2 linked regions of the Arabidopsis thaliana genome follow. The protein of the gene in region 1 interacts with the protein of each later gene in a pairwise test. Each region holds a gene or a part of one and is shown in the gene's direction. Other genes may lie near its edges.

The links. The genes of interacting proteins can lie anywhere in the genome.
Region 2: the proteins of CASP (region 1) and ATGRIP come close enough for resonance energy transfer, tested with the Arabidopsis thaliana proteins (one study listed by BioGRID).

The regions. Positions count from the first base shown.
Region 1 is NC_003074.8:6,334,690-6,338,446, forward strand, and holds the start of CASP (CCAAT-displacement protein alternatively spliced product), read left to right. Parts: upstream 1-2,002; 5' UTR 2,003-2,234; coding exon 2,235-2,337; intron 2,338-2,737; coding exon 2,738-2,848; intron 2,849-2,967; coding exon 2,968-3,146; intron 3,147-3,228; coding exon 3,229-3,378; intron 3,379-3,601; coding exon 3,602-3,690; intron 3,691-3,757. Other genes in the region: AT3G18470 (PLAC8 family protein), read right to left, coding at 311-372, 476-688, 773-844, 955-1,009. UniProt on the Arabidopsis thaliana protein: May be involved in intra-Golgi transport.
Region 2 is NC_003076.8:26,408,600-26,412,356, reverse strand, and holds the start of ATGRIP (Golgi-localized GRIP domain-containing protein), read left to right. Parts: upstream 1-2,001; 5' UTR 2,002-2,275; intron 2,276-2,412; 5' UTR 2,413-2,468; coding exon 2,469-2,874; intron 2,875-2,963; coding exon 2,964-3,079; intron 3,080-3,256; coding exon 3,257-3,426; intron 3,427-3,537; coding exon 3,538-3,631; intron 3,632-3,757. Other genes in the region: AT5G66050 (Wound-responsive family protein), read left to right, coding at 1-24; STR16 (sulfurtransferase protein 16), read right to left, coding at 1,218-1,292, 1,364-1,488, 1,552-1,625, 1,712-1,800. UniProt on the Arabidopsis thaliana protein: Golgi matrix protein playing a role in tethering of vesicles to Golgi membranes and in maintaining the overall structure of the Golgi apparatus.

The DNA.
Region 1 (3,757 bases):
GCTTGGTCAAAACTCAGAACTCGAATGACCTTGACTTGTGCAATTAGTTGACGTTTTTAGGTACAGATTATTTTTGTACCAAAGCCAGACACCAAATATATCGAATAAGGGAAAAAATAAGCCCTCTTGGATGAAAAAATACGATCTTCCAATTCTTTTATTTTCACATATCAAAATAAACAATATTGATAAAATCTGAAAAAGAATTTAAAATAATATGCTAGCTCAATATAAAACTACACTTAAAAGTGCTGTTTTCGTGAACCACTTATTTAATTCAAATCATATTGCAAATCAGAAATCTTCTTAATCAACCCATCATCTGCTGACTCATAGGAGGAGCCATCGTCCGTTGCATATTTCCACTCCACCCTATCACATAAAAATAATAAAGTTACATCAAATAATTAATCAAACGTATGAAAGACACTAATTATTTCAATAGAAAGTGAGTCCACAAAACAATGCAATTTACCAATAGAGGGGTCAAGACCACGGGTTTTGAGTTCACGGTGTTCTTGGCAAAGAGCACAACATTCACAAAAGAAGTGAGTGACGCAATCCGAAGTTGGAGACTCCGGTAACCCGAATTTGCTTCGGATCTTGGTCCGGTAAGTGCATGAGAACAAGCAAGGTAAGCCGACCACACAACATATTAGCCCGTAAAATACCCCACATCTCCCACAACCTACGTACATTATATATACGACGTTACGTGAATTCACACACACACACATTGTTTAGATATGACATATGTGAATGTATGGCTTACCGGTCCTTCCTTCGTCGGAAATGTCCGCGATCCGTCCGAAAGTGACGCATGGGCAGAAACATGTGAGGCAAGCTTATCCAGCACAAACCAAAAGGAACAAATCATTATACAATCCTGACAATAGATCTATATATGTATAAAGATTAAAGGACAACTTGATTAAATTTATATAGAATTTCTACCAGTTTCACTGTCTTCCATGCAGCTGAAAAGACCAGAAGTCCATTGCTTTTCCATTGTAAAGTAGCTTCAACCAAATCTTGCGTCAGGTTTTAACCAGTTTTGTGTTGATCGATCTTTTGATAAGCGAGATCGTAAATCAATTAATTAGGGTTTTGAAGATAGATTTTTGTTGTTAGATGCTTTAAGAATGGAGGGTGGGTGGGTATATATATGGTTGATGGTGGATCGCTTCGAGAGATCTACAAATGTTTAATTTTTAGTACATTGCACTTTGGGAAAAATCATAAAAGTTGTAAAAAAGAGTAAAAGACTTTTAAAACTAGTACGTTGCACTTTTTGTTAAAAGGAGGAAGGTTTTTTGAAAATTGATTTTTGTTTAAGGAAGGTGAGAGATTTTACTGATTGTGAGAGATTTTAAGCTACTTAAAAGTAATATGTAAACGCGTTTTTGGGATTGGTTTAATCCACACATATATACAAGATACAAAGAATTTAATTTAATGACTAAGAAAATTAAAGAAATTATGAATAAAAAAGAAATATACATCCTAAAAATGCGAAAGTAAAATAAAACAGGCTATGCTAAATTTTAAAATATTAAATTCAACATTTTTCTATTCATAAAATTTCTATTAAAATTATTTGTAGATAAGAGATAATATGTTCAAACATTATTCCTCTATATAAGGAATCAAACTTGCAAACTTTAAAATAAAATTTTGAAAAATATATCTAATGTAATATTCTGGTTTTATTAGTAAAGTAATATTACTTAATACTAACAAATTACAAAGAAAAGAACTGAAGGAAAAAAAATAAACTTTTAAAATTTTCTAACCAGTGAAATAAATTAGAATTTAAACTTAAAATTTTATTAATTAATAATAGTCATAACAAAATTTGACAAATGTTTTCAACTTAGATGTGCAATAAACATGAATTTATTCTACTAAATCAATACTGGGCCTATGAATGGCGCAAGGAATAGCCCATTGGTTATTCTATATCTTTTGGACCTTACGTTTTTGAAGCCTGTTTAGGATCACACTCATAACAAAAAAATAAATAAGAATTACGCTTCTACCACCATTAAACTCTAATGTATCTGAACTCAGAAGATCCGATCGGAGTAGTAAAAATTCAACAAAACAACAATAAGAAAACTCATTAATTCATTCGTCGGATTCGAAGAAGAAATCACTTCCCAGAAACTTTCTTCGTATCGAAGTATTGCTTGTGTTCTTCGGAGAAACGAGATCGGGATCCGAATACGAGTACAATGGAGGTTTCGCAAGATGGATCGGAAAGAGATAAAACTCCTCCTCCTTCCTCTTCTTCTTCTTCTTCCTCTCCCATTCCTGTCGTCACCAATTTCTGGAAAGGTTTGTTTCAGATTATGTCTAGCTATCTATTCGTTTTCTTCGACTCGTAGTGAAGCTGAGGATGAGCTTGTTTTTGTAGTTAGGAGAAATTCGTTTGTTAGGATTCCGTTTAAGTAGTAAGACTTAATGAGATTCTCACTGAATGTTCGGGGAGATTGCATTGGTAGTTTAATGTGATCGGATTGAGAAATTTCAGTTTATTGCTTTAAAAGTTATCAACACATTTTTCAGTACTGATAACTAGTTTCATCTCGATTCTCCGGCTTTTGTATTTGTTATACGAAACCAGTTTCAATTAGAGAACTGGTTCTGTGGTTGCTCGCTGTTTTGATAGACATCATCATAGAAGAAAGCTCTTCCCGAATGATCCATTTACTTGTCTTTAAACTACTTGTTGCAGAATTTGATTTGGAGAAGGAGAAAAGCCTGCTTGACGAGCAAGGGCTTAGAATAGCTGAAAATCAAGAAAACAGCCAAAAGAATCGCCGAAAGCTTGCAGAGAGCACACGAGGTACTTTTTTGTTTCACCTTTTATATTGCTTAACACTTCAACATTTTCTCCTGAGGGACCTCGATAGGTTCCAGCGAAGAGATGTTAACATATTCTTTGGTTTATCTTGGTAACAACAGACTTCAAGAAAGCTTCGCCTGAGAACAAACTTAGTATGTTTAATTCCCTCCTCAAGGGATATCAAGAAGAAGTAGATAATATTACCAAGAGGGCCAAGTTTGGGGAGAATGCTTTCCTAAATATCTATCAGAAACTCTATGAAGCACCTGATCCGTTTCCTGCTCTTGCTTCTATTGCTGTAATTATCCACTTATCTAATGTTAACATAATAGACACCTAAAGTCCTTTAGCCTGAGAACCAACTAATTGCTGTATTCCAGGAGCAAGATCGTAAATTATCTGAAGTGGAATCTGAAAATCGAAAGATGAAAGTTGAACTTGAGGAGTTTAGGACAGAAGCGACTCATCTTAAAAATCAGCAGGCCACAATAAGAAGGCTTGAAGAACGGAACCGCCAGCTTGAGCAACAGGTCAGCTTGCTTTTAACCTCTTCTTCTAATTGATATAGGGATAAAACTAAATGAATGTAAAGCACAGCTTCCTTGATTATTTTTCAGTCTATTCTAGGAGGTCAAATGCAAATTTATACACTGAGCCATAAGCATGATTTATATAGAGATGCTATTTTGTGATCTTGTAACGAATAACTGTCGAAGATTAGCAGTGATATCGAGTTGTTATATTTGGATTCAGATGGAAGAAAAAATCAAAGAAGTTGTTGAGATCAAGCAACGAAATCTGGCTGAGGAAAACCAGAAAACGATGGAGCTTTTAAAGGATAGGTAAAAAAAAAATTCTCTTCTGCATGCTTTGGGTGTTTAGAAAGTTTTCGAGGAAGCACCAACCTTT
Region 2 (3,757 bases), on another chromosome or scaffold:
GAAACTCCTGAGAGCTATGAGTAGTGAAAGAATAGGAGCTAAGAAAGGAAATGGATGTAGATATAATGTGGTGGATTTCAAGGGTATGGAGAGAGAAATATAAGAAGCTCATAGATTGATGGTACCGCATGTACCTGAGAGGAAGCTCTTAGATTGATGGGATCGCAGGATGTATTCAAAGTAAATGAAAGATGTATGAATAACCTGAGGGAATGTGTAAATGTAAATGGAAGAAGACTAAATGAAATGCATTTCTTTAAGTGTGTATAGTATTTTTATTGAATTGGCGATAAGAAGATTATTTAGGAGAAAGAAACTGAGGGCAGAAGCAGACAAAACGAAAGAGGGACGGTTACATACAGTGGGAAAGAAGAGATGTGGATTGTTGTGCCTTCATAAATGTCTACTTGTGGAAGACTAAGCAGTAAGTTAAAAGAAACGTGAATGATTTCCCCTGAAACGATGGTTACACAACACTCCCTTATTCACTTGGTTTTCGGGTTAAAGTTAGAAAAATAAAAGAGGTGGCCCAGCTTTGGTGCATTGAGAGTAGCAGAGTTATTAAATGCTTCGCAGAATTGCAGTTGCACATTCACTCCCTTCTTCTTCTTAATCTCCTTACAGTTACAGACATTCTCTCACTTGCGTTCTTGTTTCTTTTACAAAACAGATACACTATGTTTCCGAGAGAGTCCCTCTGATATTGGCCTGGTTCACTCAGATTCTCTTTTACTAACTCATCTGATTGAGCCGTGTCAATATCTCAGTCCTCTCTCGTCGCTTCTCTCGTATTTTGAAGTTTGCCTCGTTAGGTCACACCACTTGTTTTGTACACACGATCGAGTTGTTGATATGGTGTTGTTGTCTTTGTGTACTCATCGATCACTCAATATATACACATATATTGTCTGTTGCCAAGAACAGATGGACCTTTAAGGTAACAATCTTGTAGATATAATCGTTGATCGGATGCTCCTTTCTCCTTTCTAATTGATTTTTTTTTTAAACTATATATATAGAGATTTCGATGCAATCAACACACACTCGTATTTTTATATATTTTAAAAAGATGCGATGAGCCCCTCCCTCCAAGCTATCACATCAGACAGCAAAGAGAAAGGAGGGTCATTTATTGATGATTACATGCGGAAAGGATGCATTATTGAAGAAGAAGGAGACGAAGAGATAAGGAAAGATGTTTGGTGAATGGTGAGTCATCAAGCCTTTGTAGGAAGGCCATTCTTGGCCCAGGCACTATAGCCACCGACGATATCTTTGACTCCCGTGAAACCCTGCAAATTCGCAAATTATATATCACCAACAAAGTAAAAGTCAGAAAGAAGAGCTTTGTGGTGGAGCTTACTGCATGGAGAAGATCGGTGGTGGCTTTGATAGATCTACCACCGCTCTGGCAGCCAACAATGATGTTATCGGATTGTCCGAAATGGGAGGAGACTTGTTCCAGGAAGTCGGGGTTCTTTGACATCCCTGTTTCACAATCACAAAATTATATCCATCACTCAGTTATCAACTAACCAAATAAAAACATACCTGATGCTCCTCGATTCATGTAAGGCACGTTGATCGCCCCACAGGCATGTCCCTGGCTGAACTCTTCTGGAGTCCTATATTCATCATCCCCATTACATCAAGATCCTAATGATGCTATGTTGATGATTGAAATAGTCAAAAGAGAAAGGTGGGGCGGTACCTGACGTCTAGATAGCGGTGGCCGGCTAGAAGAAGGTCGTGGGCGACTGTTACCGACACCGATGATGGGACTCTGCTCTCCTCCGCCATTTTTTTCAATGGCTTATTATTATATTTGACTGGACAAAGACTTCAATAATTTCATTTTATATAAATTAGTTGGGAAAGTGATTATAATTGGGCCATATATTACAAATACATAATGGGCCTAAGTTGCTGCTTTATGGGCTAAGCTGTTTTCGGACTGTCCTTCATATTTTCATATTACCATTCCAAAACGGCATCATTTTAGCTAACCTCGTCTTGGGTTTACTTGATGAATTTTCAAAAGGTTTAAGGCTTCTGAATGCAATTATTCATTAGTAAAACACCCTTTACACAATTCTTACCATTCTTCGTCAGTCGATCAGATCAACGTTTTACCGTCTCACTGATCGACGGGAAAGAGACGACGACGTTTTTAACCTTTGGGTTGAGATCCGATCCAATATTTCGAAATCGTGATTCCTTGTTTGTGACCTCTCTCTCTCTGCCTCCACACTCTTCTCTAATCCCTCACCTCAAGGTAAGCTTCTTCTCTGGCACTGATTACATTCAAATCTCTCTTCTCCTTGCGTTGCTTTTGCTGGTTTATTCGAATTTCACGACTTGACTCCTTTCTCTTTTGATTGTTGATTCAAATCCCGATTTTGCGCTTACTAGTTGTCGTCGCTCTCTTGAGTGTCTGGGTTCATCTTTCTGACATCTGCTCTGCCAAGATGTCCGAAGACAAGGAATCTGATGTGGTTGGAGAAGAAGAGGAGAGCCATGTGATCAAAGAAGATAAAGAGTTAAATGATGCCTCCAACGAGACTCTGACAGAAAATGGTGATCAGCTACTCCAAATGATTGCTGAACTGAGATTAGAAAATGACTTTCTCAGATCCCAATTTGAGGGACTCAAGGATGAGGTAGCGCAAGGTAGGTCTCTCCAGAAAGCTGAGCAAGTGGAAGCGGACTCTGCTCAGCTGAAACAACTTCAAGAACAGGTCGCATCATTGAGCAGAGAAATTGATGTGGAAAAACAAACTCGAGTTGCAGCTGAGCAAGCTCTTGAGCATCTAAGGGAAGCATACTCTGAGGCTGATGCTAAATCCCAAGAATACTCCTCTAAGTTTTCCCAAGGTCAGAAGCCATCTTTTCTATTTGCTCATTCATTGACCGGAACCAGTGTTTGCCTTTTCTCAACTTGTGCTATTACATTGTTGGTGTAGTTGAACAGAAACTGGACCAGGAAATCAAAGAGCGCGACGAGAAATATGCCGACCTGGACGCCAAATTCACCAGGCTTCACAAAAGGGCTAAACAACGCATTCAAGAAATCCAAAAGGTGAATGTCTTTCTCTACATTTTATAATGCTTTCTGTTTTAGCCACTTTGAGGCTACTGTGAGTTTCAAAAACCATCTTATACTATTTCGGAATTTCTATGCTGCATTTTCAGACATATAGATTTCGCTGCTATGTGCTGTCTTAATCTCAGTGGTATATTATATTGCTATCTTCAGGAAAAAGATGATCTCGACGCCCGTTTCCGGGAAGTGAATGAAACAGCTGAACGAGCATCTTCTCAACACTCATCCATGCAACAAGAGCTGGAACGCACTAGGCAACAGGCGAATGAAGCACTTAAAGCAATGGATGCGGAGAGGCAACAACTAAGGAGTGCCAATAACAAGTAAATAATTCGAAGATAATTTTTACAGAAATTGTATAAAATGAATGTCGCCTTTCCCACTTCTCCAGCTACCTCTAAGAATTTGAGTACTGGAGTTTTCTCTTTACACAGGCTCAGGGATACTATCGAGGAACTACGTGGCTCATTGCAGCCTAAAGAAAATAAGATTGAGACATTGCAACAGTCACTTCTTGATAAGGACCAGGTTTGATCTCTTTCATTTTCTGTAATACTAGTCTGCAATATATAGAAAAATAGAGAGACAAAAGAGACAGAGAGAGAGAGAGAGAGGGGGGGGGGGGGGGGGGGGGGAGGGATGGCTCTGTATACT